4 linked regions of the Oreochromis niloticus genome follow. The protein of the gene in region 4 interacts with the protein of the main gene of each other region in a pairwise test. Links are inferred from orthologs where the notes say so. Each region holds a gene or a part of one and is shown on either strand. Other genes may lie near its edges.

Region 1 (7,851 bases), on a different chromosome or scaffold from region 4:
GTTCAGGACATGTTGAACACTGCAAAATGTGATGAAGACATTCTTTATATTCACTTCAGGTTTGTGACATACTCAGTTATGCTTTTTGTTAGGTGTGTGCTGTACCTTGTGGGGCATTTCTCCTGTGTGGGTGACAGTATGCAATCGTAGAGCTTCTTTTGCATTAAATGTAGCAGAACAAGTGAGGCAGGTGTACGTCTGGAATTATAAAAGTAAAAACACTGAGGATTCTTCATAGTGAGGGTTGGAGAAAGTGTGATTTTCTTCACTCACCAGCACACTAGCACAGTCTCTCATCTCGTGTATCAAAAGGTTCTCCTTCCTGTAATACCGTTTTCCACATTTAAGACAACCGAAGGGCTTCTCCCCTGTATGCCTCCTGTGGAGATGAGACATTAGTTTACTCCTTTAACAGCATTTGGAAAGAAAAAAAAAAGGTGACACCCTGTACCTGTTGTGAACCTTGAGGTAGTATTTGCTCTTGAAGGCTTTGAAGCAGATGGGACACTGCACGGAGGCCTTCTTAGAGTCGTCCTCCATCGCCTGACCATTCTTGTTTTTGTTTGTTTGACTCTGGGCCTTGCATGTCTGTCTGGTCGACGTAGACGGGGATGTGGTTGAGGAAGCGGGCTCAGCAGCAGGCACATACTCCTCATCTGTGTCTTCGGGAATCTCCTCCGGAATACCCAAGTCATCATTATCGTCTTCTGCTTCCACTCCCCCACTTACCTGGCTAATAACATTGTCGTTAATCTGCAGCTCCGTTACCTGCAAACAACAGGAGACAGGTGTAATAAAATCCCCTATATTCCTCTTTAAAAACACACTCATTATTATCCACACAAATGCCCCGTCATTGAAATATTTTTTCATGCTTATGTTATTGTATTCTACCTCAGTTTCACCAGCTAGCTGATCTGAGTTTTGGTTTTCCTCAACAACTGCATCACCAACTTCTTTCTCCACAGGAAGAGGCGGGGTCAACTCGTTTTCAGTTGTAGGGCTCTCATCGATAGTCACTAGTCGCCTGGGGCCCTTCACTACTCGGCCAGAGCGTGTGGTGGTTGCTGCAGTAGTGGCAGCAGTGGTAAAACTGGCTGCAGCAGTATCAATGGTGGGCTCGTCTTTCGTGACTTTAATTAAATTCTTCTCTTTGACTGGGTTGATGTCTGAGGCAGACTTTCTAGGTCTACCTCTTTTACGCTTGACAGGCACAGGCTCCTTAGAGGTCTCCTTGAACTGGTGACAGCGTGTGAGTGCCTCTGGTACGCACAGGCTGGCTGCTGCCTGCTGGACTCTGTCCAGGTTGTGAGGATCCAACTTTAGCTCTCCGGTGTAGACAAAGTTTAGGAGCAGCTCCAAGCCATCGCTGGGGCATCCCTGCAGGCAGAACTCTGTTGCAGAAGGCATGTTTGACTGCTGGAGGAGTTCACTGAAGCAGGCGAGGATGTTGCGATGAGCAAGGAACACTACCCCGTCTCCCACATTCAATGCTGCATCACAAAACCTGCCCACTGCCCTCTGCTGGTTCAGGGCGGACAGGACACGTTGCGCATGGTTGCTCTCTGCTGCAGACATCCCTCCTGCTTCACTGTAGATGGCTAGTAAATGAGACACATCAAACAAAGCGTGTGGTTTAGACCAATTATCAGCAGAGCACCTAGTCAAAAAATCCACATGTCACTCTAAAAGTGCTTTACAGGATTTTGAACTGATGGTATTTTACCTGCTTCCATGTTATCATTTCTGTTAGTGCCAGTAATGAAAGATAAAACTGGGAAGATTTACTAGTATTAATAATTAGAGACCAATTGCCTTGGCAAATGTATTTTGTAAAGTGTTTGAACACAGATTTCAAAAGCATACAACAACTGATAATCAAGTTGGTTTTAAGAGTAAGTGTAATACTGATCTGTACATAAATATATATACAAATATAAGAGACAGAACACATCAGTTTTATGTGCTTTTTAGATCCGCCCAAAGCATTTGACAGAGTGAACAATCAGCTGTTTTTTAAATTGCAAAGCAGAGGGGTCGCTGCATATGTAATTAGGATTTTTGGCATTCACATCAAACTATGTGAGCTAAGTGGGTTACGGAGTATCTGAACCTTTTTCAGTATCTATTGGCTCTTTTGTGTCGTAATTGAAAACTGAAAACTACTTAAGAAATGTCAAGAAAGCTGCCTATGAGAGTTCGAGCTATGTTATAGAACAGAACTGTAAAAACTCTGTTTTTGCCTTATAGCCTGTATTTCCTCATTGAATAACCCTTAGCATCTTTTTCTCGTTTTCATAGCAAAATATAAAGGAGAGGTAACCTAAGACTTTTGCACAGTACTGTATTTGCACTGACTGAAGAATCAAGTGTGCGTGTGAGGTCAAAAAAATACATTTGAATGTGTAACCGGGTCATAAATTACATATTGTTATAATTACACAAAATGTGTTCAAAACCCCACACCATTCCTTTTATACCTGACTTTTAGGACCTCCAAGCCTGTAGTTAGCTTCATTATCAGTTAGAGCCCCTCCTAATCCTTTTCTTCTTCTTCTTCTTTGGTGCAACCTATAAATTTGGGGTACCACTTTGGCCTCTCCCCTTTTCTACAATTCCACTGTGGTAGAGGTTGGTGTAATTTCTTTTCCAACACTAATTATATCTGTATCCACCCTGATGTTTCTGATTGTGTTTTTAGTTCATTATTGTCATCTTCACCCCTGTCTTTACTAGATCCTATGAATATGTAGTACATGTGTGCCACATATGTGTGTAGGCACCGTTAATGCTAGCATGAACAGATAATTCTGGCTAGCTTGGAAAGTGTACTGGGTTGAGCTAACTCTCGTCCCAACTGTTTATATTTGGTTATAGGAGCTGGAGCGGGCAAGTTATTTACTTGGAGGTCTTTCTTTTTACCTTTCATTGTCAAACACAACGCAGGAACACACCGGGGTATTCTGGGACTCCATCCTACCTAACCATCCTACCTACCCTACCTACTCGTTATTTCTGCGCATGCGCACAACCCATTGTGAATATTTGTTATGGTTAGAGTTAGGTTACGTCCACACGTACACGGGTATTTTTGAAAACGGAGATTTTCCGTTTTCGTTTTAAAAAATAATCCCGTCCACACGTAAACGCAGAAATGAAGGAAGACGCTGCTAGGAACATGCCAAAGCGACAGGTGGCGATATATTCCTAACCGTGTAGAAATGTTGGCCAAACAGAAGTCTAGAAGCCTCGGTGGGAAATACTAAACAAAGATGGGGCATAGAAGCAGAACAGAGTCCTATGTGTGGAGGGACAGTAACTGTGTGTGTGTGTATGTAAGCATTTAAACACTGCAGAGAGTACAATTAACAGTATTGTAGAAATTCATTTCACCGAAACAATAACGTGGCGCACAGTGTGACGTCAAAAAAGGCGCACACCTTTGACGCTGTTTTCTCCGTTTTCCTCGTCCACACGTAAATGCAAAAACGGAGTTTTCGAAAATATCCACCCTGGCAGGCGTTTTTAGAAATCTCCGTTTTCAGTGACCGAAAACGCCGTTTACGTGTGGACGAAAGGTGCAAACGCATAGAAAAATCTGCGTTTTCAAAAATACCCGGGTACGTGTGGACGTAGCCCCAGTCACAAGTCACCGTCAAATTATAATACGGGTAGGACCATTTGCCAAAGTAGGACGGTTTCTAAGAACACCGGCTACAAACGCAGGTATCTCACCAAAAGGAATTCTAATGAATAAAATATTTTAAAACATTAAAAACAGTATTTAAAAAGGCTTTAAGTAGTATTTTTAAGCAACAATCACACTGAGGAATTACAAGACGAGACTGACATATGTACTATACCGCAGGATGTGTTCAGTCGACTGTCTGACTTTAAAATGCTCGATTATATTATATCTTAAACAAATTCTATCAACTTTTTTATCAGCTCAATTTAAACGATTAAAATCCCAAAGATGCTGAGATTATAAACATATACATAAAGCAGAAGCAACAAATATAATATTGTGCTTATCAAATAAAAGTATCTTTGATGTTTTCCGACTGAAAAAAACCCTGAAATCATTATAAATCATAATTACTAGAGATTTGTAAACATTACTGATAGTATTATTATTTAATGCAAAGATTTTTAAGTCTATTCATTGTTAAGGTTTCTTGCAAAAATAACAAAATGTATATGTTGGTTCCAGCTCTTTAGATGTGAGGATGTTTGCAGCTTTTATTTATCTTATATGACAAGAGACAGAACACAATTAGTTTATGAATTGTGAGATAAAGCAAGCTGCTGGTGTTCGATTTAAGGAAACTGGGATGAACACGTTGCACCTTTTTAATCCATTTTAGGAGAAAACAAAAAAAACAATTACAAAAAAATCATATAGCTAATAGCAGTAATTATTTGTGTGCACTAGTTTTATTTTTAATACTACAAGTACATTTTCCTGATTATACTCCTTACATTGATTTTACTTGCTGGATTTGTATTTTTATTAATTTAAATAACTAAAGGTATTTAAAAAATAAATAACTAAAACTATCCAACACTGCTGATTATTTGACAGTATAAAAATATTCTTAAAAAACATTTTAAAGTATGTACTGAGCATAGCTCTTAATATTAGATGGACAAATTAAATAATCCTTAGATTTAAATTTGTGTCCTTATATTTACAACATTTATTGAGCTGCCTTTAAAATAAAGTCTAAACACACCCTAGTGCATTTTCAGTGTACATATTCGAAAAAGCATTCGTGAATAATTGCAAACTCCCACCTACTTTGCACTTCCACGTTTAGTTCCTAGCACATCTCTTTAAAGACGCTCCCTTAGCGCGCTGTCCAGCAGACAGCTACAGCTTCAGCTCGCGTTTGAATTATCGATTAAAAACTAAGTAAACACGACGAGCCTCTCTGTAATCTGCACACGATCCGGGCGTAACATGAGCAGAGTGATAAAACAGAAAAGCCTAGCTTCGTGCACCTTGTTTTCGTTTCTTGTAGGCCCCTAAAAAGTGCGAAGTGAACAGGATGTGACGCTGTTTATGCGACCGCACTCCGGGAATGTTTTATGTCGTACAATATTAAAATATTAACGATCACATGAATCAAAATCTGAGACGTAACCAGATTCTTACTCGTGGCTCCATTTGTCTGTAATATTATCGACGTATTGAAAAAATACTAAAAAAGTACATTAAGTTGTTAGACGCTTCTTTTAGCAGATAATAACACTTCGGGTAAAGTCATAGTTGACCATCTGGACTGGCGTCTGTTTGCGGCTCACACATGTAAGTATTAGCCTGTTAGCACCGTTGCAATTACAAGTGACCAGCTCTTTAGTGTCTCTTAAAATAATTATAAACATTACCTGTGCATGTTCGCAACCAAAGCACAGGGATTATAACTACAGCTTTGTGCCATCTGTTTTAAAGCAACGTTTTCTCGGGAAGCAACCACCTTAGCTAGCAGCTAATGCTAGTTGTTGAGGCGGTGGTAGGTGAAGTTGGTCGTGATAACTTCAACCCAAGTTTAAAATTGAGGTTGCATTGTTGTCATACTGCGTGAAGGTGATTTTATTCATTGCCCTGTTCACATTTTGAGAGATTAAATTGTGGAAAACCGACATAATTGGCTTTAGTTTTCATTTATATTGAGCTGTGGCTGGAAAAGAAAGCTAGCTCTGGCTAACGGATATGTTAAAACAAGACTATTATCAGGATTATTTAACCTAAGAGAAGATGTACTGTATTCATCACAAACATCGAGTAGTTCCTGTGTTACAGCAGCCGAAACAGTAAACACAATTTTTAAATGAATAACGTAAACAAAGAGTAACCTGAAGTAGTGCAGCTGTGTTCATGGGCTTTTGAGTTTTTGTAAGTGGCCTTCAATGTTTGTTTAATATGGTTATCTGGTCTATGGTATAAATGCTGTGAACCTGCATATGAAACTGAGCCTGCATGACTTAATTTTAAATGATGGAGTGTTGATGTAAATTTCTGTGCCTTGTCATTTTAAAATAAAAATAAACATAATAAAAACAGCCTTACTGTCTTATAAAGACTCACAGTCTTATACAATGACTCAAAGAGGTGAAAAATACTTAAGTTAGATCAAATGTAAAAAAACAAAACCCTAATATCGCCTACAACATTGGGGGAAAACGTCCCTTAGGAATAACACATGTAAAAACTTGTGTTGTGAGCTCCAGTAGATTTGTTTAAGATAACATAAGATAACCTTTATTAGTCCCACACGTGGGAACCGCAGCCTACCACTGAAGGAGCTAGTCAGTGCTGTGAGTCTCCTGCATGGGGTAGGAGATGTTGTCCAGCAGGGATGGCAGCTTAGCCACCCTTCTCCTTTCACTCACCAGCTCCTCTGTGTGTGTGTGTGTGTGTGTGTGTGTGTGTGTGTTGTGATCAGCTGACTTGCGCCACTGCTACTCTGACATTTACTGCTCTTTGTGGATTTAACTGAACTCAATAAGATATAAGCAGACAAGTCAGCTTAAGCATAAACAGTCTGCTACCTGTGATGGAAGCTAAAACTGATGTTTAACACCATAGCGGGAACTTGACTGCAACAGTTTCAACCCATAAATACCCAGGCATCAGGATAGATGAACACTTATTAAAAATAACTGAAGATTATTATAATAATAACTATCATATTATTACAATAAAAATCTCTGTGCAAAAGTTAAATGCCATGAAGTAAAGTTGCTCTTTAAGTAAACTAGATGGGTTCCACAGAACTAAACTAATAATAGCTTGAGTGTAAATGCTTTGTTTCCATTAAAAGTGCATCTTTTTCTTTGCAGGTTCACCTTTTCATTTTTCTTGTACCTGAATGACTGCTGACAATCATGAAAGTGAACAAACACGCAGAGGTAAAACATAAATCTCACAAATGGAAAGATGCGAAGGGAAAACGGTGCAGACCTCCTGTCAGTTCCTCTAATGTAAACTCTAGCCCTGTGGTGATCAGCATGGTGAAGGACCACCAGGAGTCTGTAAGGAAAAAACCATCTGTAAAGAGGCTGAAAAATAAAGTGAAGTCTGTCTCTAACCACAAGAATGGCTCTTCTGAGTCTGGAATTAAGAAGACACATGCTCAGGCTAATGGAAGCTCAGTGTTTACCATAGACAATGACTCAAATGACTCACAGGACTGGAAGGAGTATTCCCAGTCAGTGCATGGGAACGGTATGGAGACCTCAGATAACACTGAGGATGTCCGGAGAGGTAGATTGGAGGGAGAGGCTCTGCATCACTGTGCGCAGAGAGACGATCGACAGAACCGCACAGTACTTGTCATGCAGAAGGATCAGGTATGCATCAGTTGATTTTTAGTTGGACATGTAGATGTTTAATCTGATTCCAATTCATTTCTGTGACTAATCATGTCTTACCTGCAGACGCTGTGTTTCCGCGGGAAGTGCCTTCTGACCTGTCTTTATGGTCGTGTAGAAGTTATGGGATTTACCATCGAAGAGGGTCAGCAGTCATATTCGCTTTTCTCCCCAGCGTCACATTGTCCACTGAGTATTAGAGGATTAGAAAGCATCAGAGCGTTGGAAAGTAGAAACGAGGCATCACACATCCTCCAAAAGTATCTTCCACAAGGTGAGCAGCACACTTTTTCTTTTATGTTTGAAGTTAGGCATTTGTATTGGTTTTTCAGTTAAAATATAGCACTAGGAAGTCTGATTGGTTAGAATTCATATCATATAGGCAAAAATCCTGTGAATTCTACATAGCTGGACCTTATTTCTCTTTGCAAAGTCTAGATTTTTTTAGGCTAATAATTCTATAATAATAATTAT
Region 2 (7,757 bases), on a different chromosome or scaffold from region 4:
TTTTTTCTCCTTTTTTTTGCTGAATAAGACCTAAGATGATCCAGACTTGCTGACCGTGCTGGTTTGCTGCAGCCCTCCTCCTCTCAGTCAATTGTGAGCTGATTTATCGTGGTGAACAGAAGCAAGGCCCTCTGGCTGCCATTTCCGTACTTTTCCATTAACCTCCATTAACATTCTAGTGCAACAGTAGCATTTTGCTTTAAGACTCTGAACGAAAGAAGAAGAAGCTCAGGGGCTAATTAGGAAGTAAAAAATTCCATCCTGGCATGTGCAAGTGAGTCGCAGGGCTTGGACGCTGAATATGATTTTCTTTTTATGCATTTTATTTATGCTAAATGTTACTCGATTTGACACACCATTGCAAATGCTTGGAAAAATTAAAATCCAGGAGATAGCTTCTGGTTAAGAAGGCTTCAAGGCTTTATTGGAGTTTAATGCAGCACATGATGGACTTGAAGGCTATTGCACATACAAGGCAGTTACATAAGCATATTTTGGTTAAGGTAAAGCACCAGCAAACATTTCTTCACAAAGCAGAATTCCTACCGCTGACAAATCCTTTCTTTGTAAATGTTTTTTTTTTTTTTTGCAGAATCTTTTGCAGAGTGTACCTGTGCATACATGCTTTCAGGCACTCGTGTCGACCACACAGAGGTGAAGGTCACCAGCACTTTTTTAAGAGATTTTCATTTGGTTTGAATGAGACATCAGAGCAAATAGGAGCACCAGAGGATTTGGAACATCCTTTTAGCTACAGGCTAGCACTTTGTTTTTAAAATGAGTAAAGTTAGACTTTTTTATCTGTTGTTTTCCCATTTTTCTCCTCAGCCTCCTCTTCTTTTCCAGTTTCGTCCTCCTTCTCACCCTCTTCATCGCCCTTTGTTTCTTTCTGATCGGCATCTTCCTCCTCTTGAGGCTGGCCGTCCTCTCCTCCTTCCCCCTCGTCTTCTTTTTCTCCATCCTCTGCCTCAGCCTCTTCGCGATGAAAATGAGGTGAAGAAAGATAAAAGGTCACATTAGTTTCCCACACACAGGGACACGCACAGGGGTATACATAGAAATTTACCACACTAACCTTCTGCATCTGCCTCTTCCTCCTTCTCTTCTTCGTCTCCTTCCTTCTCTGCTGTCTCCTCCTCCTCTTCTTCCCCCCCTTCCTCCTGCGCTGCCTCTTCTTCCTCCTTTTCTTCTTCAGCTTTCTCTTCCTCTTCCACCTGCTCTTCTTCCTCCTCTTCGGGAGGGCTAGCCTCTGCCTGCTGTGCTTGGCTCGCAGATATTGTCTCCTCTGTGGGCAGCGATGTAGTATACAGGCGGGAGCTCAGCAGGTATGGAGCTGCAGAGCTCAGCTGAGAATGCATGGAGATCTGCGTTCTTGCATAGGACGGAGCAGAAAACATGGCTTGGGAGTACCCAGTGACAGAAATCGGTCCTGCCACATTCAAACGATTCTCTTCTCCCTCAAGGAGCTTCCTGATAGGATAAAGCACACATTACAAGAAGATGAGATGCCTAATTGCCAATTTTATTGTGTATTCCACAATTACCCATCCAGTATATAAGACAGTGGGACACTATGTATAAGGCACTTACCTGTATGCAGCAATTTCGATATCCAGTGCCATCTTCACATTCAGAAGGTCCTGGTAATCTTTCAAGTAGCGAGCCATGTCATTTTTGTTTGCCCTCAGCTCTTCTTCCAGTTCACGTATTGTATCCTGTACAAAGAGAAATGTTATATGTACATAAGTTAAATATCTGCTCTGTGACTCCTCTGAGTAACAGAAAATAACAAAGGATCACTTCTTCTTTTTTTTTATATCACAAGAAAGAAACAGAGGTCACTGCACTTCCTTTGTTTCTGTGCCTCACCTGCAGTGCAGCAATCTCGGCACTCTGTTTCTCCTCCACTTCCTGTAGTTGGTTTTCCAGAGCTTGGTTCATCTGGCGGCAGGCATCAATCTCCAGCATTTTGGCTTTAAGCAACCGGCGGTACTCTCCAGCTTCATCTTTGGCACCGCGTGCAGTCTCCGTGGTGCGAGTGGCGCCCACTGTCATGACATTCATCTTGTTGCAGAACCATTCTTCGGCCGACTGCAGGTTGCGCTGTGCCAGCTTCTCGTACTGCACTCGGATGTCACGGAGGGCAGCAGACAGGTCCGGTTTGGCAACCTCCATCTCCACTGACACCTCTGCGCTGTACTGGATTTGGGCCTGCAGCTCCGCAATCTCACTCTCACAGAGGCGCTTCAGGAAGGCCAGCTCCTCCAGCAGGGTCTCGACTCGTTTCTCAAGCTCGGCCTGGCCCAGTGTGGCTTCATCTGCTCCCTTCCTGGCATCCATGAGCCTGCCCTCGGCCTCCTCTCTGCCAAGCACTTCCTCCTCATACCGTTTCTGCAGGTTCCTCAGCACATCCTCCATCTGATCCCTGTGGTCCTGGGCTGCTTGCTTTTCATGGCGGGCCTCTTCCACAGCTACACGGAGCTGGCGGATCTCATGCTCATACAGGGCCCGAATGTTGGATGGCTCCGTCTGCCTTTGCCTAAGCAGCAGGAGTTCAGTCTCCAGCAACTTGTTCTGCTGCTCAAGTTCATGGACCCTCTCAATGAAGCTTGCGAAGCGGTCATTCAGGTCTTGCAGCTGAGCCTTCTCCTGGGTCCTTACTGCTTTGAACTCAGAGCTGACTTGGGCTGCTTGGTCAAGGCGTAGCTCAGGAGTAGCTGCAAACACAGGAGCAGAAAGAAGGGTGGAGTAGCTGGAAGTAGCTCGGGTGTATGCTGGATAACTTCTGCGTGAAGATGCATAGGAAGGTACTGGGGCAGAGTGGGTGGAGTAGGCAGACCTAGCTACTCCTCCTCCACCAGCCCCATATCCTCCGCTGCGCACAACTCCCCGCTTCTTGTAAGCATAAGAAAAGTAAGGGTCAAAGCCGGCGGAAGCCATGACTAGTGAGACGGGCTGCTCTGTGTCTGTGAATGTTGCCGGGCCGACTGCACAGTGAATCTGCATCACTCTGACTTTTATAGGGCCAGTAATGACTGTGACGTAAGCTTTTTTTTTTTTCTTTGCAGGCATGCTGACAGAAAGAATTGATAATAGTGCCAGCCAGCCGGTCTCAGCCAAGGAAGAGATGGGGTGGGTGAGGATGAGTGTAGGGATGGAGGAGGCGGGGGAGAAGCAACGACAGAGCAACAAGGGACTGCAACAGACAGGGTCAGTGAGGACAAAGATGATATACTGTTACACCTAGAAGCTGCAGTTTTCTTGCAGTTCTTCATCAGAAACCCTGACAAAGACCTCATCTTTCTATCACATATCTGTGCAAACTACAGAATAAAGGGAAAACCATCTTTTAGCCACTGCTTTGCATAATTTTATACAATTTGTCAGCAATGTCTGACAAGGTATCAGTGAAATTTCTATTATGATCCAACTATCACAGCAAACCATTGCTAAGGTAATCAGCTCAGCATCTTGGGGTGCTGAAAAAAGGGTGAAAAAAACCAAACTGGATCTTATCATGATTATAGATAAAAGTTTGCCCTCTAGTGGTTGACTGTTTCCCATGCATGTCACAATGTTGATCATGTTGATTTTCCAGAGCTTCATTTAGACCAGGGGTCCCCAATCCCAGTCCACCAGGGCCGGTGTCCCTGCAGGTTTTAGATGTGTCCTTGATCCATCACAGCTGATTTAAATGGATAAATTACCTTCTCAACATGTCTTGAAGTTCTCCAGAGGCCTGGTAATGAACTAATCATGTGATTCAGGTGTGTTGACCCAGGGTGAGATCTAAAACCTGCAGGGACACCGGCCCTCGTGGACTGGGATTGGGGACCCCTGATTTAGACCCTGATCCACGCCGTGGAAAAAACACGAGTCACTCGAATGGTTCTTAGTACGTGAGGAAAGTTTCCATGATGGAAACAGGGCTATAAATATTTAAGACTGGGAGCACTAATCTATAACAAATGTTCTTGTTTACACCTTGTCATCTCCTGATTTAGCCAATATGAACTGTATATTTGGTGAATAAATAAATATATGATAAATTAATTCAATAATATGCAAGATAATACTCATGGGCTGTATGTGGTTGGTGCTACATTCAAAATGAAGCTATATTTTTCATAAAACAACATGTCTCATTTTCAACATTTTATATATTATGCACACGTGCTGCTTATGCTGCAGCACCCACGCTTTCCAGGAAACAGGGTTGCATATTTATCTTGTAAATATGGGGAATTGGATTCTCAAGAACATATGCACGTCCATCCATGGGCAGTCAGCTTTATAGTGCACAGGCCGAACTACAGTCTAAAGACGTACTTGGAAAAAAATATGAGATGGCTATGCACTTTACTACAAACTTTGCGTGTATTTCTGTTAGTTTTGCAGTTTACATACAGTTTTGAAGTGTCGCAAATCAAGAAAAAATCAAGTTAATAAATTTTGCCATTATTAGTGCATAATTGATAAGTCAGTAATGTTTCAGGAGAAACACAACATTTTGTTTGGACATTTTGCTCGTGTAGTGTATGTATGATTGTACACAGTTGTTTGAAGATTTAATAGCTTGGACTTGATGAGAACAAGTAAACATACAAGCAAACATGTATAAGGCTACTGATTTTTCTGCCCAAAGGATTTGTTGCAATAGGCTGTTCCCAAATCCCTCAGTTTTATTTTTACCAAATCTGTGCACTTGCTTACCCATCTAACTGTGGACCATGACACTAGTACACACTACGAATGGACCTCTGCATAAACTTGACATACTACGGGTAGCCTAGCTTCCGATGAAGTTATTTTAACTTTGGTCAAGAGGGGATAAGCATATCTCTGCATATTAAAAGTTCATGCTCGTTTTTAGGAAGCTGGCACAGGTATTGTAACGAGCCACTCATGCATATCGTGCTGTTTAAATGGCCTGCTGCCCCATTGAGGCTTTGAGACCGCAGAGGGGCTTTTTAATGGGCTACTTGCTGAGAAAAAAGTCTATTCAATTAGTATGAAATTACCCATTTCTTCCCATTTTAATTAACCACTAAAATATACGAATGTATGAATGAAACGTAGAGCTGCCACCCAGGCAAAAGAAAAAAAGAAGTATATCACGTTATAACCTGAAAAGTTTATTGTTCTAACAAGATACTTTTCACGTTTGTACAATATACTATCATGTTTGTACAATATACTTTTCACGTTTGAACAATATAATATCACGTTATTACAATATGCATAAATATCACGTTCGTACAATATATTTATATTGTACGAACGTGATATTTATATTGTACGAACGTGATATTTATATTGTAATAACGTGATATTTATGCATATTGTAATAACGTGATATTATATTGTTCAAACGTGAAAAGTATATTGTACAAACATGATAGTATATTGTACAAACGTGAAAAGTATCTTGTTAGAACAATAAACTTTTCACGTTATAACGTGATATACTTCTTTTTTTCTTTTGCCTGGGTGGCAGCTCTACGCTTCCGTACGAATGACACTATTATAAAGATATAATGTTATTTCGCGGAGCATCGTCATTTGGAAAACAAAGATATAACCAATAACAAGTGTACATCCCTCTGACCGACCTGATTTTGCCCCAACCTTTAATTTGCAATTTTATATATAGAGGTTCCTGATTGGTCACCGATGTAGTTTAAAATAACACTATGCAAGAGTACGCATTTGGCAGGTTGGGTTTCTGTTGCACAAATTAGGATAATATACAATATTCTATTTAATTCCAACAATTGGGCTACCTTTGTGTATTCCTTAGATAGCGTGTAGCTTTGTAATAAATGCTCTTTCAGTCGGCGTGCTCTTTTCCTTGTATTGGCCTCTGAATATCCGACACTTCAAATGCCATGTCGCGCTGCCCCTTCTGCAGGCGTACGCCGGTGTAGTAATAAAGCAAACCCAGACGGTGTCGCCCAATATCATACAGTATCGTTGGTCCTAAGATTACGCCCACTGGGTATTGACCAATCAGTGACCACGTTACTGATTGGCGGGCAGCAAATGTCATCCAGTGACGCAAATATTCTCGGGTCTCATCCATGTTTGACAACAACAAAGGATGATGAATAGGTTAAGTTTCTAAATTGCTTCGTGCTTCGTAGCCGCGGAGTTTTCAGGGTTTGTTACGTTGCTCGAGTACCTGAAACTTTACAGGTGCAGTTTAATTGAGAATGAATGGTAAGTCGCTGAGCTCTGGAAGTGACGGTCGCCCGGCGGAGCACAAGCTACAGTTAGCTCACAAACGTCCCTGCTAATTTCGGCTAGCTGGAGAAACTGTGAGCTACGTTTAGCATCTACTCTTCAGAGTTCTGTATATTATTTGCTAGGAGCGAAATATCGTTTACAGAGAGCTAAGTTAACCACATTTGGTTTTGAATGGCCTGTCGGTAATGTAAGCTAGTCAGTCCCAAGTGGTCGTAATCTCCTCTTTAAAGAGCAATTACGTGGCGTGATAGAAACGCCGGCTCGCATTGCTTTTCTGTGTTGTAGGTTGTGTACGCCCAAATCTCTCACATACATTCAAATAAATAGATAACAGTAAATAAAAAAGACACAGAGGACATACTAAATGGCTTTGCAGTGTAATTTTTGTTTTGTCTTGCATTCATCGATGTCTCTTTCCTGTGTATCCAGTTAAAATCTGCGAACCGTGAAGGCAGAAGATCTGCTTTTCAAATATTAAAATGGTAAGATCTTGAATCACAGCGTCAGCTACATCCTCATTGTAACTACGCACACTCCCTTGCCTAAGACAGATTACTGCATGGTAAAGCGTTTTCTCGCTGCCCTTTTACACAGATTCGCATAGCAGCACTAAATGCTGCTTCGACAGCTGCAGACGAGTCTCAAGACCCCCTGAGAAACAGCAAGAGTCAGACAAAAGAGGCTCAAGTAGGCTACATACTATATGCTGATGAATAAGCAATATTAGTTCTATCTGCTGATGCAGTCATTCATCTCTGTACATCCCATTAAGTCAGTTGTATTCCCCCGTTTGTTTCTGTCTATAGGAAGCAGAGGCATTCGCTTTATATCACAAAGCTTTGGATCTGCAGAAACATGATAAATTTGAGGAGTCCGCCAAGGCCTACCATGAGCTTCTCAAAACTCCACTGCTCAAAGAGGTAAACACACCAACAAAAATCTTTAATATGGTTGCACAGAACATCCTGTTCATCCATCCATTCTCTTACACTTTTCAGGGTTGTGGGGGTGGGTGGGCTATCCCAGCTGTCCCAGGGCGAGAGTCAGGGTAAACCCTGAACAGGTCAGCAGTCTATCGCAGGGCTAACACATAGAGACAGACCCTGGCAGGAAGCCAGAGTACCGGGAGATAACCCACGAAAACACGGGGAAACATGCGAACGCAACACGGCTTTGCCCCAATCAGATGGTGGATTCGTAATTAGGACCTTCTAGCTGTGAGGCAACAGTGCTTACCACTAAAGCTGCTGTTCTAACATTAGCGCGTTACCTATGGAGGTAATTTATTGTTTTCTATAAATCCACCATCCAGTCAACAGTGCGCCGGTATTCTCATCACTGACAGCCATCTCACCCGAGATCCTTGTCTGCTCCCATTCTGTCAGTCTCCATGACTGATTGAGTGTGGTGAAACCGGCATCAGTGGATGAGTGCACGCACAGAGGTCCATCGCTTGGTCAAGGATGACCACGGGAGACATAAAGAATGAAGCAGACGCTGCCTCACTTGCT
Region 3 (7,966 bases), on a different chromosome or scaffold from region 4:
TGATTCCCACTGAGACGTGAACCAGGTTCACTCTGGAAATGAATCCACTGGTTGGCTGATGACTCACATAAATCACCTGTTGAACATGCTAAACACAAACTATAAAATCATTTCATTCAAGTTTTTTCACGTGATGCTCCTCAGTCTGAAATAAGCATTGTGTTCACGGCTGCGAATGATCTGGACTTTATGGATCTTTCAAGCTACACCCCTGATTCTCTAACAGTTTTTTTTTTCTTTCTTGGTACACAAGCTCCATTAAAACACAACAGGCGTGAGGTGTGTTGCTCTTCTCTGCGGGCGTCTTCTTACCTTGCATGCTTTAGCGTGGAGGTGTAGGCACATTTTCTCGCCACCTGCCGAGCCAGAGAAAAGAGCTCCACCCGTCTCAGCAAAAGGGCATTGTCACGCATGCAGAACTGGGCTGCAGCTTCATTGATGATCAGCTGAGAAGGAAAAACACTGATTGCAGAAGGGATGGACACTGATTGACATTTGATAAAAAGCTGCACTCTGGTATGAAGTGCAGCTTTAATCAGGTATAAAACATATTGCGATGCATTAACATCATCTTCACTTTGATGCTTTTACCTCATGATGTGTGAGCTGCTTGCCTTCCCTCCTCTTGGAGTCGAAGCGCCCATAAATAAGACTGTATTTCCGGATCTCCTCTTCCTTGTTCACGTCCTGGGACCCCATTCTGAAGATGTGTCCCACAGTCTTTGCCATCTTCTTATTCATCCTCAGCAAAGTCTTCACCTCTGCAGGATCTGACCTAGGCAGGGTCGTGAGGAGCCTCTCCACAGTCTCCACCACGGCCCTTGCTGTCTCCCCATCCAGCTGTCCTCCGGGCCAGGCAGACGGAGCTGCCGGGGTGAAAGACGCAGAGGGGCTCGGAGACGTGGAAGGACCGGGAGGACATGTTGACAGCAGAGGTGGGCTGGATGGCTCCTCTTCTGTTCCAGGTGCAGAACCCAAAGTGCAGTTCCCATCATGCTCTGGGCTGAGCCAGTGTGGATCCATTGGAGAAAGTTTTTCCCTGTAGTGTGTGTCTGGGGGCTGTGGAGAGGCCTGGGAACAGGGGCTTCTTGGACTCCCGCTGTGCATTGGTGTAAGGCACATCCGATCCTCTCTCTCACAGGGGGATCCTGGCTGCCCATTACTCACAGACTTTCTGGGCCCGCCAGCTGATCCACTTGTGCCAGTGCCATCAACTTTAAAGAGCGGGATGCCCCCGAGAGGAACATTAGCAACAGGCTGGCTGAAAAGGGCAGGGTTCGCCGCCCAGTCTCGGAGGGCCTTTTGCAGCCTACGCACATGCAGTGGCTTGGTGGCCATGCCAACTAGTGCCATGATCTCCAGGAACTCCTCCTCCGCTGCCTCGCAGAGCTGCTGGACATCGTCACCACCCTGCTGGATAAAGGTTTCATAGTAGGCCAGCAGGTTGGCCCTCTGGAGGACCCGATACAGCTGCAACTCACCAAGTGTGCGTGGCAGAGACATGGCACACAGCACTGGAAAGTTTAGGCAGGAGAAAGGAAAGACATGAACCTGCAGATGGAGAAATCCTGTACAAGTTAATTATTTAGATAAAGACTTTGGCATCTGGACCACACCTAGTATATACAGAATACAAATTACAAATATAGTGAAATAATAAAAACTGATAAACAGTTAAAAGCAAGTTTAAGCATCCCTTGGGGCAGAATAAGCTCCTATCTACTCATTATATTTTTCATGACTTAACCTTTGAATATACATAAATCGCTTTTTTCTTACCTTCTTTAGGTCAGCTTTACAGATGTGTAAAGAGGAAACCGGCGTAATTACGCAAGGGTGTCGCTCCAGCCACCGATGTCACGGGTCGGATCTGCCGGAGCAATACTGACAAAAGAAATAAAAACTAAAATCTCCTGATCACAGACAGAACCGCATTCAGACTGCACTAAAGTGGAAACACTCGTTTTATTGGCTCCATTTCAAATAAAGCCATCGACTGGAGGCAACTGTTTACTATCCAGATGTTAAGAGGAGAGCACCCAAAGACAACGCAGTTATTATCCCATTCGTTTCTTACCGTCTTACCTATTGCCGACAGCTTCCTCGGCGCAGATTGGCGTAGTAAATCCCCTTTGCGTATCTTACCTCGTCTGAAATCACTGGCAGAAATCCTCCTCCGGCGCACCGTATTGGTTGCTGGCTGCCTTTTTGCTGTCTGTGTGGGCTGGAGAATGACGGGGGCGGACTGCAGCACGCCATCTGACCGAAAAAGAGCCTTCCTCTCCCGGTAGAGAGGCGGCTTTCAAATTGGAGATGTGGGTGGTGGTGGTGGGGGCTTGAAATTAACCCTCTGCGTCTTCAAGATTAGTCCTTTATGCAGAAGCTTTAGGGGGTTCCCACCGTTTTACTATGTCAGAGACTCCCAAAACAAGCAGCCAGCTATACACTATACAGACCTCTATAGATAAGAATAAACTGACGTGACAGATGTGAATTTTTACTGAAGACCAGTTCTGTTATTTCCCCCCATTTTATGTAGGAGGTGGTAGAGTGGGTGAAGCTCCAGCAGTTTTTAAATGCTAGTATTGTATTTTGTTTTGTTATGTTTGAAAAAGTAAAGGACCAAGTCACCAAATCGAGACTTTAAATTGACTAACAGTATCTCGAAAGAAGCTCAAAGTCCAACACCAGCATCTCCAATCCTTTTTGTTTGCCACATTTTATATGATTGTTCTATTGCACAGTGATGGCCTAAGATATGTATTGTGTGCCTATCCATTTGCAGTTTTAAGTGGCCTTTAGGTACATCTACACCACGCACTTTAGAAATAAGGGATTTATTCATATGTTACAAATAACAACCCAACTACCCTTTTACTGTGAGCATAAGATGGAGTCTGAAAAAAATAAGCCAGACCAAAACATCGTGGTCATTAAGCGTGGGCTTCTAACACGCAAATCTTAGTATTAAGGAAAATGTGTTATCCTTTTTCCTCCGAGTGTGATTAGCAGGCTACTATGAACTAAGTTAGGACTCGGGTAAAAACAGGGTTGCTGGGTTTCTTAACCCACATTTCTAAAGTTAGCCGTTAACGGTCAGCTATTCCCAAAACATTAGATGGCAGCAGAGTCCCGCTGTTGTGTTTTAACCGCGCGCAAACCGCGAAGAGGGAGCTGGAGGCGGAAGAGGACGTAGCAATAAAGTGGGAAAAGGAGCCGCAGAAGAAGAAGAAGTGGCTTAAAAAAAACAAAACAACACCGACACTTGGATGTCTGTTAACAAACAAGGTTATACAGTTATCCGAGAGGTATATATGACATTTCATTTGTTTTAATGCAAAACGCATTTTATTTGCCTTCTTTGTTGGACTGGACGTCCCGGTGTTTAAACACGTCTTGGCGTTAGTAGCCAAACCAACCACACAGGAAGGGGAAACAGGCGTTTATATTTCAGCTAGTCCTGCTAGTAGCTAAGAGTTCACTGCTGGCTCGCTAAAAGCATTAACAGTCGCCTGTTGTGTCTTCGTTTGTGACCTTATTTAGTCGAAATGTTGCCAGGTTAACTATCCAGAGGCAAGCTAATTTTAGCCCCCGTAGCGCCTGTCTGTCATCCTGCTTGGCTGCTTCCTCATGCTAACACCAGGACTGCCTGCTAACATTATCCGCCTTTTAAAACATCTGGTGATTTGAACACAGTTAACATGTTAAGGGTCTAACTGACTTCTTTATACCCTTTTTATTTACTGTGAAAAGTTAAAAGGTTGTTTATTAAAGGTCGGGTTTTAGACACACTGCGTTCTTGTTTGGCTAACTGGATTAGCAAACAACAAAGCAGGGTAACTGCATGTAGTCTGTTTTCACATCTGCATAAATACGCGTAAAAGTAGCTTCAAAGAGGGTATTTGTAACTACTTGATACATATACAGTTGTACCGATGAAGTCGTGCAGCTACATTGCTCACTGACTGCGTAACTTGTAAATTTGTAGTTACCCCCTTTTGTTTCTTTTAAAACTTATTGTTTAGCAGTTATTATGCGCTCTGGTGTCAAAGCATTTGTCTTAAAGTAATGCTCCTCTTACTTTTCAGTTGTCTGGAACGTCTAAGGTTTTTTCCTGCATTTAACCCAATACATTTAAAAAAAAATCACTTGGAAACAAAGTTAGAGAGACAAAGTAGAGATGTGCAGAGGAGGGAAAGTGGATGTTAGGGACGCTAGGGATAGTGTGAGGTAGAGGCACATGGTTTATGGTTATATATGAAATCAGAAAGCCAAAAATAACAGGAACAAGGATTCACTTATATTAAGTAGGGTGACACAGACTTGTTGTGATATCAAAACCTGGAGATTGATTCATATCTCTTGCTTTTCAGGAGCTCCAGTGCATCATGTGAGTTGTGCAAAAGCCTTTTGATACCTACAAGTGGCTGCTGATGTGGTGGACCTGAACTTGACCTGTGCGAACCCCCAGTCTCGCTTTTTTATGAGAGCCTGGGGAAAATGTGGCCTCAAATTATGGATTTAGGGACTCTTTAATGAAAGTCAGATTTTACAGCGTTTCAGTCAAATTGCTGTAAGGAACATGGAAAGAGAAGCTGCTAAGAAAGAGATGGATGTTGTGGACACTGACGAGGAGATCCCTGATGGTGTTTCGGCCTCAGTGACCAGTTCAAGTCAGTGTGAGGTTGAGGATGAGTGCGAGCAGGAGGACAAAACAGCCTATCTCAGATCTCAGGAAACTCCAAACCCAGCCACTCTACAAGACCTTGGGGCTGGTGAAGCAGAGGCCAAAGATGATATTGAGGAGGTTTCAGAAGAGTTTGAGCATGACAAGACTACAGAAAATGAGAACTCACAGGTTATAAACCAAGAAGAGGATGATGCAGCAAAGGAGCAGCACATGAATGGGGAGTCTGGTTGGAGGAACATGGGAAGTGGAAGGAAGTGCAAACTGAGGAGCGGTGGGTCAGTTTTAGAGCAGATTCAGAGAGGAAATGTTATGTCAAGTGGCGGTCGGCACAAGCAGACCCGCAGACGTAACCACCACCACTATCAGCAGAACCGGGGCCGGCGGAGGACAGGAAACCAGCTCATCTTAGCGTTCAAGGAGATGCTGTCAGAGTCTCTGAGCTTCTGGTGCATCTCTTGCATCCACATGATGATTGAGATTATTGTCACTTTAACTCACAACTGTGGAGTTGGAGTGGAGACTGGAGTTGTAAAACTTTACAACCTTGGGCAGCAGCTCCTTGTGAAGGTCACTGATGTTCCTGGAATGAAGGCAGATGCGATCCGGATTCTGAAGTGGGCAAAGTGCAAAGGAGCTTGTGTGGTGGATAAAACTGTTAGGTCAGTAAAGTGGATAAAGACAGTTGCCTTATCTTGTTTCACATTTTTCTGTGCTTTGGTTATTCTGGGATCGCAGTGGGCCAAGGGGGTTTTCCTTCGTATTGGTGGGGATAGGGGGAAGCACTATTGGACGGCTTTTCAGGAGTCACGCGTTTGGAAGAGGATAGTGTCCTTGCTGGAGAAAGCCCGAAGCCTATTCAGGAGGGATGGTCATGTACCGCCATCCGCACCGGGGTCACCTGGCAGAGCAGGAAGAGCTCAACCAGGCCAGGAGTTGGAGAGACTGCTGGCACTGGTTGAGGTACCAGAGGATGAGCTCGATCCCTTTACAGTTCTCGGTGTTGAGGTGCATGCCACTGACACTGAGCTGAAGAAGGCTTACAGACAGCTGGCTGTCCAGGTGTGAGAATCAGAAATACTTCAATTTTTACTATTACATGCCTGCTGTAATGACTAGTTTTGATTCTTTACTCATGCAACCTTTTCCTCTATCCGTTCTCTTTCAGGTCCATCCAGACAAGAATAAACACCCACGAGCTGGAGAGGCGTTCAAAGTGCTCAGAGCTGCCTGGGATATTGTCAGTAATCCAGAGACACGACGAGAGTATGAGTTGTAAGTGCACGGGGAAAAAAATCAACAATAAAACCACAAAAGAAAGAAATATTTTAATCACAATTATTTATTGTATTTTAAATCGTCTTGTCAATTATTTTAATGCAGTGATTTTTTTTAGTTATTTCTTTTAGTTCTTATTGGTAAAACAAACAAACCTCACTCAAGTGCAGTTATTTAGCAAGTTTGACATTTCACTCATTATCTCTGATCAACAACTTGTCTTACTCGTTCTCACGCAGGAAGCGCATGGCAGCAACTGAGCTCTCAAAGTCCATGAACGAGTTTCTCACTAAACTGCAGGATGACCTGAAGGAAGCCATGAATACTATGATGTGTACCAAGTGTGAAGGCAAACACAAGTATGGTGTTACACATCCAGCATCACCTTCACACAGCTGCACATGAAATCAAAAGATTCTAAAAAAAATTGTAGCTAATCTTGTGTTGCAGGCTTTCAGCACATGTGTGTTTTCTTTGTTTCCTGTGTGTGTGTGAAGGCGCTTCGAGATGGATCGTGAACCCGCTGAGGCCCGGTTCTGTGCTGAATGCAACCGTTACCATAGCGCCGAGGAAGGGGACCTGTGGGCTGAATCGAGCATGCTGGGCCTACGCATCACATACTTTGCCTGTATGGATGGCAAGGTGTATGATATTACAGGTGAGCATCAGCTGTTGTTTACCTGGCCGGCTCGTTAGTAACAAACCACTAGTGCATCTCAGAGTTTGCATTTACCAGCGATCTTTGTTGATACTTCGACAGGCTACTGAAAGCTACGGGTTTTTCTTGCTGAACATTTTACTCTCAGTCATGTGACCTTTTATGATACTATCTCGTTTCAGAGTGGGCAGGTTGCCAGAGAATTGGAATTTCTCCTGATACACACCGGGTCCCGTATCACATCTCCTTTGGTTCAAAGAACAACAGCAATGCCACACGACACAGGTACATCCCTCTGGGTGAACGTTTGGATACAGTATCTAATATTTATGAAGCAAAACAAACAGTTTGATCCCTCTCCATCACACTTAGGGGCGTTTTCACACCTATAGTTACAAACTCATTAAGTGGTCTGCATCAGTTGATGAGTTTTTAACTTTTCCCTGTGATTTTGTTTGTTTTCACGCAACATGGAGAAAAATCCAAGCAACCGAAATGCATCCCTACAAACCACATGACAATGTTTACTCCACTTATTGGCCAGATGTGACTGAAGTGGGAGCAACAAAAGTAAATACAGGAAGATGATGCTGTGTTCTGGACTATTGGAAAGTTCATTTCACAGCTAGTTGCTGGCCCGTGCAGACCTTTTCTTGTCAATAGTACTTTGTCACGCTCAAGAATTTAAAGCATGCATGGCTCAAACTTGCAACGCACACCTGGTCGTTGGTTTGGCTCGAGCTCGGATCATGTTCACAACATAAACGAGCTGATCTGGAGTTCATTTGGAACTGTACTGACACCACCACCTCCAAAGTGTCTTTGTGTGGTTGCTTTGGTCTGCACCTGAGTGCGATCTAAACAAACAAACCACACAAAGGCTCAGGTTTATCCCGCTTGTTTTTAAACATCTGCCCTTTGCCAGCAGCAGACTGGAGAGTTTTCCTTTTAAATGTGCAGAGAGGGGAAAATGCAAACCTTTTGGCACTAGAGAAGAAATTAAAATAAATAAGCTTTAAAATGTCTGACTTTGCTTAAATTAGATTAATGTAAACATGTTTGATATTTGTTCTTTTTATTTCTTTCTCAGTCTGTCATCTGTGTGTGTGTATTTTACATGCATGGCAGGAGGAGGAGCTCCCCCTTGTGTATTGCTGAAATAACAACGTTTACAATAAAGAAAGCTGTACTATTCATTTCAATTAAAGTCAAAAAGTTTCCTCTCCACGCAATAACATTATTTCACTTGACAAACTTAAATTTCCATCTTATCTTTCAGGACACCGTCGGAGCACGCGGCAGGTCCGACCAACCCAGCTGATTTGCAGGACTTCTTCAACCGA
Region 4 (7,230 bases):
ACCCCCAAATGCAAGTTAGATGAATGATCATACCTTTCTTTTTTACTGCCGAGTTTGTTTGCTGTGTACTGATCCCCGTAATCGATCAGATGTAGCTGTCGTGAGAACACGTTCACTCGATTCCCAATAAATAAGTCCTCCTGATGGATGTCATCGTATCTGGTCCTTCTCAGAAATATCCGCTGGTTCTTTACATCGAACTGTGAAACAGGTATATTTTTCAGAAATGCTAAAGAAAAAATCTGAAATTTTCATCAATATAGAGTTAATTAAAACAAATAAGCTATTTACAATTTCCATTACAAGGTATTCATATTCTGGATTAAAAAAAGAACATTCATAAACACACCTTCAGGCAGAAAAAAGAGAGACAAAAAGTAAGCACTGGGGTAAAAGCGTACCATTTCTACTGAGCCATCTCTGGGGTAGTAAAACAGTTGATAACGCCGCAGGAGGGCGGAGGTGGGGTCATACCACTCTGTAAGAAAGGCAAACCGGTCCTCCTGAAAATAAATAAATAAATATAACTTCGATATTAAGCTTCTTTCTGCAAAGGAGAATTTCTGGCAACCCCAAAAAAGCCAAAAGAAAATCAACTGATTCTTTTTTCACCCACATGATTAATTTCCTCCAGCATATTAGACATTTCTCATTATAAAATGATCAAAAATAACACAAAATTGACAATTTATTTCAAAAAACTGAAACTAACTCACTTATGAGGACAAATCATGTGTGTTTTTTCAACCCCAAAGGCCCAGTTTGAGCCAGGAAAACCCTGAATTTGTGCCAACAAATTAAACATACTGAGCTTTTAAAAGGTCACCATGTCGCCTGAAACCACAGGCCAATGTTCAGGTGAATATGCAAACCTCACAGATGTAAACTGGGAGGCACGAATCCACACAGCTCAGGTTTATTTTTACATTTTGGTACATTTCCACAAATGTGTTTATTAACAGAAAATGAATGCAGTACATAAGGTGGTCAATATTTACAGAATCTGGCTTTTTACAAACCAAAGGCTTCTGTTATTATTAAGCACAGAAATGTTATGACTCAATATGATCAGGTATGCTCACCTGACTAGTAGCAGACTTTATTCAGTTCACCTTGTCAACCAAAAATAATTCAGTAAACACGGATAACGATCGGTTAGCACTGTTGCCACTGAGCAACACAAGCCTGGATTTGGTTTGCAGGTCACTTCCTGCAGATCAGACCTTTCACCAAACGAAAACATTTGGAGCATCACAAAACCAAATATACCACAGAGAAGATCATTTTTTGGGTTTTCTACAGCGAATAAAATATGGGCTCATGAGATTTGCAAATCATTGCATTCATCCATGCATTGCATTCATCATTCTGCCAGGTCTCTCTTGGAAATGAGATTTTAAATCTCAATGAGATTTTTACCTGAATAAATAAAGGACTAATAATAATAAAAAAAATCCATCTTTAGGACATTGAAGTTCGTGTTTCCACACTCCTTATCTTCCTCATGCCGTTTCCTATCAAGATTAAGCAGCTAGGAAGACACAGGAAGTGATTTCACAGACTATTTCGCTGCAGTGATTGTCCTAATCACCACCAGGCCAATGTTATCATGTTTAAAGGATGATTTGCTGAAGGTGTTTCCTGGTCTACTGCTCATCATTAATCCAATTGGTTTTGCAAAGAAAACGCTCCCTATCTCTTGCACCACTGCTTCATGAAGCCTGGCGATGATCCGGGTCTTATCCCGAACAAGCAAAACATCAGTGCTAAATCTACTATTACTTTTCTGAGTCTGTATATTCAAAGCAGTGCTCCATCAATGTGGGATGGCACCACTGGAAAGGCACAGAGGCAGTAAAAAGTAGGATGAATGAATACAATTTCTTCAAGGACAAATAAATCAGTAACAGTGTTTTGGTGCTGTTAGTCTGATTAATTAAGAAGAATTCAAAATGGGTTATTTTTTCATAGTAAATGACTGCCCTCCTCCCCCTCTTTTAAGCCACTCTATATCTCCTATTTCTTCGATTAGCTCTTAAAATACCAACAGTCTTATTGCACTTCAGGCTATTTACTTTGTAATGTTTTATGTTTTCAGTTATTTTTAACATGCTCATAATTTTCTTCCTCTCATATTCTGTTTCATTGCATTTTGTTTTCTGTAAAGTATCTGGACCCACCTCCTACAGGTGCTACACAAATATAATTTGATTGATTGATTAACCAGTCTGCAGTTTAGCATTAATCAGTCGTCTAACACACCATGTGAAAGATGAGGATGTCTCTCACAACTAAAAGCTCAGACCATCTCCTCCACTCAGCCTAGTTAATAGAATAAACAGAAAACATGGGCACCAGCTGAATGGATAGAAACTCTTTGAGCAGAAACATGTTTGATGCCAGGTTTACCAGCATTAAAAGCACCTGCTCAGCTACACCTTTAGCTAATTTAATCACAGCTAATGTTCACCGTTAGACGTTAACCACACAGCTACCTGTAGTATCTGTAGTTAAACTGTGTATAAGCCATAAATGATATTTTTAAAGGAGCTAACGGCTAACCCGTTAGCCTGAAGCACTGATGTTTAGAACTGCTCGGCTAGCTTGTGTTTATTATGCTAACGGTAGCAAACAGCAACCTGTTTCAGGCTCTAACGGAAGTTTTTACCTTCACCGAAGCCCTCACGCCCCCCGGTTTGATGACAGGAGGGAACCTTTACTCACCATCTTTTAAAACATCCCTGTAAACTCTGTGTGACAGCGCACTGTTGTCAGCTAGCAAACATTAGCCGTACTTCGTTTCTATAGTAACTGCAGAGGTGCATTCACGTGTTCATGGGAATTCTGACCTTTCAGCACAGTTTTTGTTATTTGTTTTTATACAGACCTTAAAATGTAATATATTAGTCATAAATCATTGGATGGATATCATTAATTAAACTGTATACATGATAATTATAAAGCAGTACAAAAGAAAAGCTGCGCTGTCTTGCTCCAGTGGTGGTTTTTAAAGTAAAGGAGCGAGGCAAGAGTCGGGTTCTGGTGAAATACACTGTGCATTTATTGTGTATGAGGACACCTAGTGGCGGTCTGCTGATGCTGCGAAGAAGTTCAGTTTTCAGCGGCCATAAACGCACCTTTTCATTGCACTGTTACCCGGAAGAACAACATAGTGAAAAATGAAGGATCTGATGTTGCACTTCACTCTCATCTGTGTGAATAATTAAGCTGCCCGGGGGTGTTATTTCAGAGCAGTCAGCGTTAATAACTTGACTGCATGATCTTCTTATGAAAAGCAGTGCAAAGAATTCTCCAGTAAATTTTTTAATGAAGTGTTGCTCCATGGGCTCCTCTGCTCTTCTCACACAGATGGTTAATGATGAAGGGCCATTGATCCTAGATGGTGGACTGGCAACTGATCTGGAAGCGCATGGAGCCAAACTGCAGGTAAATCATAAAAACAACCTGCAACAGGTCACCATTTTCTATTGATTAGACTAATTTAATTTCTCTCTGGAGATGTTTTGTGTCTATTTTCAGTCAATCCATGTCTCCATGGTGGCTGTGCTATTTGTTTTGTAGTTGTGTTACTGACTTATACAAGTAATTTAAAAGTAATTTTAAAGCTGTGGTTCAGAGACCTTAGCCAGGCTTATCAGATCCCAACAAACTAAATATGTGAAAAGTCTGTTTAGTGTTTAATTTCTGTATATTTAAAGTTTTAAACATAAAAACATGTAGCCAAATACTCTGAATAAAGAGAATGTTCAATAAAATAAAATAACATTTGAAGTTAGGATTATTAGGGTTAAATTTAAATACAAGCATTAAAGCAACAGTCTACAGAACAGTGTGTAAGATGTAAATAAAAACATAGTGAAATGACTGCAAATCATGAGCCCATATCTTATTCAAAATAGAACACAGAAAACTGAGTACCATTTTAAGAAAAAAAACATTAACAACAAGGTTATTTTGAAGTTGATGGCAGCAACATATCTATAAAAAAAAGGGTGGGACGAGGCCATGTGTCTGGGAACTGAGGAGAGCAGCTGCTGGACTTATCAGGAGAGGAATGTCATCCCGTTCTGGTCTGATACAGGATTCTAGCTGCTCAGCAGTCCTGAATCTGCTTTGTTGTGTTTTTGGTTTCATGATGCTCCAGACGCTTTGCTTGATGAAAGGTCTGGACTACAGGCCTGCAGTTCAGCCCCCAGACTCAGATTTGATGAAGTATGCTGTTTCCCATCCCCCTGCTGAAATACGCAAGGCCTTCCCCGAAAAAGACGTCACCTGGATGGGAGCATATGTGGCCCTGAGAAGTCCAACCCACTGAATCCTAAAGAGATTCAAAAGTGCACAAAACAAAACAGAAGTTTTTTTTCTTCTTACATTAAGTTTCTTTGTCTACGGCACATCTGTTTGTGAAGTTAGAAAAACTCTGTCCACTCCACCCCAGAAGCTTCCAGTCGTCACCACACCTGCATTTCCTTTCATACGTGCTGGTGAAACTTGTGCGACTTGGGACTTGTTAGTTGCTCACAATGCTTCACCTGGGAGGTAGACTGCAGCTATTCCCTACTTAGAATCACAGCCTGCTGAACTTTAGCGAGTCAGTCAAACCTGAGCATCAAAGGTCCATCAGTGATCTGAGTATACTCTGTATCTTTGCAGAAGAAAATACCTGCAAGGTTTTGTATTTATTTTCAGAGAGATGGTTAAATGACCTGAATATATCCTCTGGCCCTGTTCTCACAGCCTGTCTGTGACTGTGAGTCACTTGATTTTCACAGCTTTTATGTTTTTATTGTAATATCTTTACTGAATTTCCCAAATCTGGCCTCTTGACACATTCCCTCCCTATAATGTAAAAGATAATAATTACAAAAACTAAAAAGATTAAAACTAAAACACTGAAACTAATAAAAATGAAATAAAATGTAAATATTTTCAAACAAAAAAACTGAACGGACTTCAAAACAACGTCAAAATGAAATACAAATAAAAACTAATTAGAAAATATAAAACTATAATAACTCTGAAGGTTGAGATGCTGTAATGTTACTTTCTAGTACATGATCTATAGGGACATGAGTAAAATATCCAATAAATGTTACCAAAACTTGTGTTTTTATTTATGTAAAGTACGTAAAAACGTGAATAGTATTTTTATCTGGTCTTTACAGATCAATTATAACATGTTTTATTAATATTGTTCTGTGAATCTGGACTGAAATTCATGTGTGTGTGTGTTACATATGCAGGGAGACCCTCTGTGGAGCGCCAGGCTTTTGCACACTGATCCTCAGGCCATAAGAGATGCTCATTACAGGTGTGTCCATGCAAAGTGTTGGTAAATAAACTTTCTAGTTTCAGAGTCTTAAATCTGTGTGTGTGTGTGAACAGGTTCCTGCTCAGTGGTGCTGATGTCATCACGACAGCCACATACCAGGCAAGTATCCCAGGATTCATCAGCCACCTGGAGGTGAGCGCTGAACGCGCCAGAGAGCTGCTGATGTCCGGAGTTCACCTGGCCAAAGAGACGGTGAAGGGGTTTGAGTCAGGTAGGAGAGCTTACGCTGAGCTGAGCCGACTCTGGCTGTAAACTGTGATATAATCTCACATTTTATTTCTCTGTAAAGGGCAGAGACGCCCCCTGGTGGCAGGCTCTGTGGGGCCGTACGGGGCCTTTCTGCACGATGGCTCGGAGTACACTGGAGCTTACGCAGAGCAGATGAGTGTTGAAGTAAGTACCCCTCAGCCACGTACTGGACTTTATGCCTGCTTTGAGAAGATTACCCAGAATAGTTGTTTATATCTCCGGTTCTGGTTCTGTTTATATTTTAGGTTTGTTCCATGAAAAATCATTAAGTACCTCCTTTTTTGGGACAATAACTTCAGTATATTTAATGACACTATGACACTTTTTACCTTAATACTATTGCTATTTTCAGAGTTACAAAAAAAATTAAAGCATTTTGAGTACAACAGAGATCAACATTTAAGCTTTGTAAACTAATAATTAGCAGCAAAACTGCAGCAGTTTAACATCTCTGATGCAGGGGAACAAAAACCAGCATAGGTACCCTGGATGTTTTACATATTTTTGGATAATCCACTGGAGAATATTTTAAAACGTGCATTCTGGGTAAACGTTCAGCTCATATTACCATGTAAAAGCATATGAAAGGACTTCTTTTTTACCTATATTGTACTTTGAGTGCCTTAAACTGAAAATATTCACAGTATGAAGGGAACGTTTTGCACGATTCTGAATCCGAGGGGGTCAGATTTGATTATTTATGTTGCCTGATCCTTCTGATGTTGTTCTCAGTAAGTTTATAGATCCATTTACTGCTGAGACAGGTGAGAATAAATGTTCTCAGGTGTCTTTAATCTATTTGAAGGAGCTTAAAGTTTGGCACCGGCCTCAGATTGACTGCTTAGCAGCTGCAGGAGCTGATCTCATCGCCTTTGAGACAATCCCGAGCATCAAAGAGGCGGAGGCTGTGGTGGAGCTGCTGAGGGAGTTTCCAAACTCGAAAGCCTGGCTGTCATTCTCCTGTAAGGTAATCACTGCCGGTGAACAGCAATGGTGAAAGATACATATTAGTTTGTTGTTAGTCACGCAATGACTCACCTCGCCATCAGGACCAGAAGTGTATATCGGACGGCAGCCTGTTCGCTGACGCCGTGCGGGTTGCCAGCAGATCCAGGCAGCTGCTCGCTGTGGGAGTCAACTGCTGTCCTCCAGACGTGGTGGAGCCGCTGCTGGACTCTGCTGGACCACTGCACACCTCAGACATGAGCTGGGTGGTGTACCCTAACAGCGGAGAGGAGTGGGACACTGAGCGGGGGTGAGTCTGAAGCTAAATTAACACACGACTGTCTAAACACCTCACATCAACGTGTTTACATTCGGTAAATACAACATAAATCTACCATAAAAACTTGATTCCTTACAGAGAAAAAAGAAAATCTGCTAAATATCTTTATGGATTCAGTAAAGGATCTTTTTTTCATTCAAAGGTGGCAAACATCAGGAAAACCATCAGCATGGACGCCTGATCTGAGCCACATGTGGGTGAAGCAGGGCGCTGCTCTGATAGGTGAGCTCAGCTGCTTTCTCTTACACTCAGTCTTCTTTTTTGCAGCATTTTCTCTGAGCAGCTCTTCTCTGTCTTACAGGAGGATGCTGTCGTATCGACCCTGCTCACATAGCGGAGCTAA

Evidence for each region.
Region 1: the proteins of nme7 (region 4) and zbtb48 interact in binary tests that used the Homo sapiens proteins (3 or more experiments, as listed by UniProt). The two-hybrid records come from large-scale screens. The link is inferred for Oreochromis niloticus from reciprocal best matches to the Homo sapiens genes NME7 and ZBTB48.
Region 2: the proteins of nme7 (region 4) and neflb interact in binary tests that used the Homo sapiens proteins (3 or more experiments, as listed by UniProt). The two-hybrid records come from large-scale screens. The link is inferred for Oreochromis niloticus from reciprocal best matches to the Homo sapiens genes NME7 and NEFL.
Region 3: the proteins of nme7 (region 4) and nab2 interact in binary tests that used the Homo sapiens proteins (3 or more experiments, as listed by UniProt). The two-hybrid records come from large-scale screens. The link is inferred for Oreochromis niloticus from reciprocal best matches to the Homo sapiens genes NME7 and NAB2.

The regions. Positions count from the first base shown.
Region 1 is NC_031984.2:8,011,707-8,019,557, reverse strand, and holds the start of zbtb48 (telomere zinc finger-associated protein), read right to left. Parts: upstream 3,006-7,851; 5' UTR 2,930-3,005; coding exon 2,923-2,929; intron 2,632-2,922; exon of another isoform or gene 2,481-2,631; intron 1,602-2,480; coding exon 895-1,601; intron 769-894; coding exon 452-768; intron 380-451; coding exon 274-379; intron 199-273; coding exon 106-198; intron 20-105; coding exon 1-19. Other genes in the region: polynucleotide 5'-hydroxyl-kinase NOL9, read left to right, coding at 6,892-7,356, 7,444-7,651. UniProt on the Homo sapiens protein: Plays a critical role in transcriptional regulation and chromatin remodeling. Acts as a regulator of telomere length. Directly binds the telomeric double-stranded 5'-TTAGGG-3' repeat.
Region 2 is NC_031977.2:10,144,193-10,151,949, forward strand, and holds neflb (neurofilament light chain b), read right to left. Parts: upstream 3,006-7,757; 5' UTR 2,941-3,005; coding exon 1,870-2,940; intron 1,716-1,869; coding exon 1,591-1,715; intron 1,471-1,590; coding exon 1,076-1,470; intron 976-1,075; coding exon 788-975; 3' UTR 397-787; downstream 1-396. UniProt on the Homo sapiens protein: Neurofilaments usually contain three intermediate filament proteins: NEFL, NEFM, and NEFH which are involved in the maintenance of neuronal caliber.
Region 3 is NC_031970.2:24,802,145-24,810,110, forward strand, and holds the start of nab2 (NGFI-A-binding protein 2), read right to left. Parts: upstream 3,006-7,966; 5' UTR 2,078-3,005; intron 1,885-2,077; 5' UTR 1,780-1,884; intron 1,552-1,779; exon of another isoform or gene 1,515-1,551; 5' UTR 1,504-1,514; coding exon 592-1,503; intron 447-591; coding exon 313-446; intron 1-312. Other genes in the region: dnajc14 (dnaJ homolog subfamily C member 14), read left to right, coding at 4,583-5,749, 5,856-5,962, 6,205-6,324, 6,463-6,623, 6,806-6,908, 7,903-7,966. UniProt on the Homo sapiens protein: Acts as a transcriptional repressor for zinc finger transcription factors EGR1 and EGR2. Isoform 2 lacks repression ability.
Region 4 is NC_031986.2:33,233,102-33,240,331, forward strand, and holds the start of nme7 (nucleoside diphosphate kinase homolog 7), read right to left. Parts: upstream 3,015-7,230; 5' UTR 2,728-3,014; coding exon 2,725-2,727; intron 504-2,724; coding exon 402-503; intron 201-401; coding exon 34-200; intron 1-33. Other genes in the region: zgc:172121 (homocysteine S-methyltransferase 1), read left to right, coding at 3,289-3,447, 5,265-5,332, 5,407-5,564, 5,643-5,746, 6,387-6,569, 6,652-6,857, 7,030-7,109, 7,189-7,230. UniProt on the Homo sapiens protein: Possesses an intrinsic kinase activity. Displays 3'-5' exonuclease activity with a preference for single-stranded DNA. Does not seem to have nucleoside diphosphate kinase activity.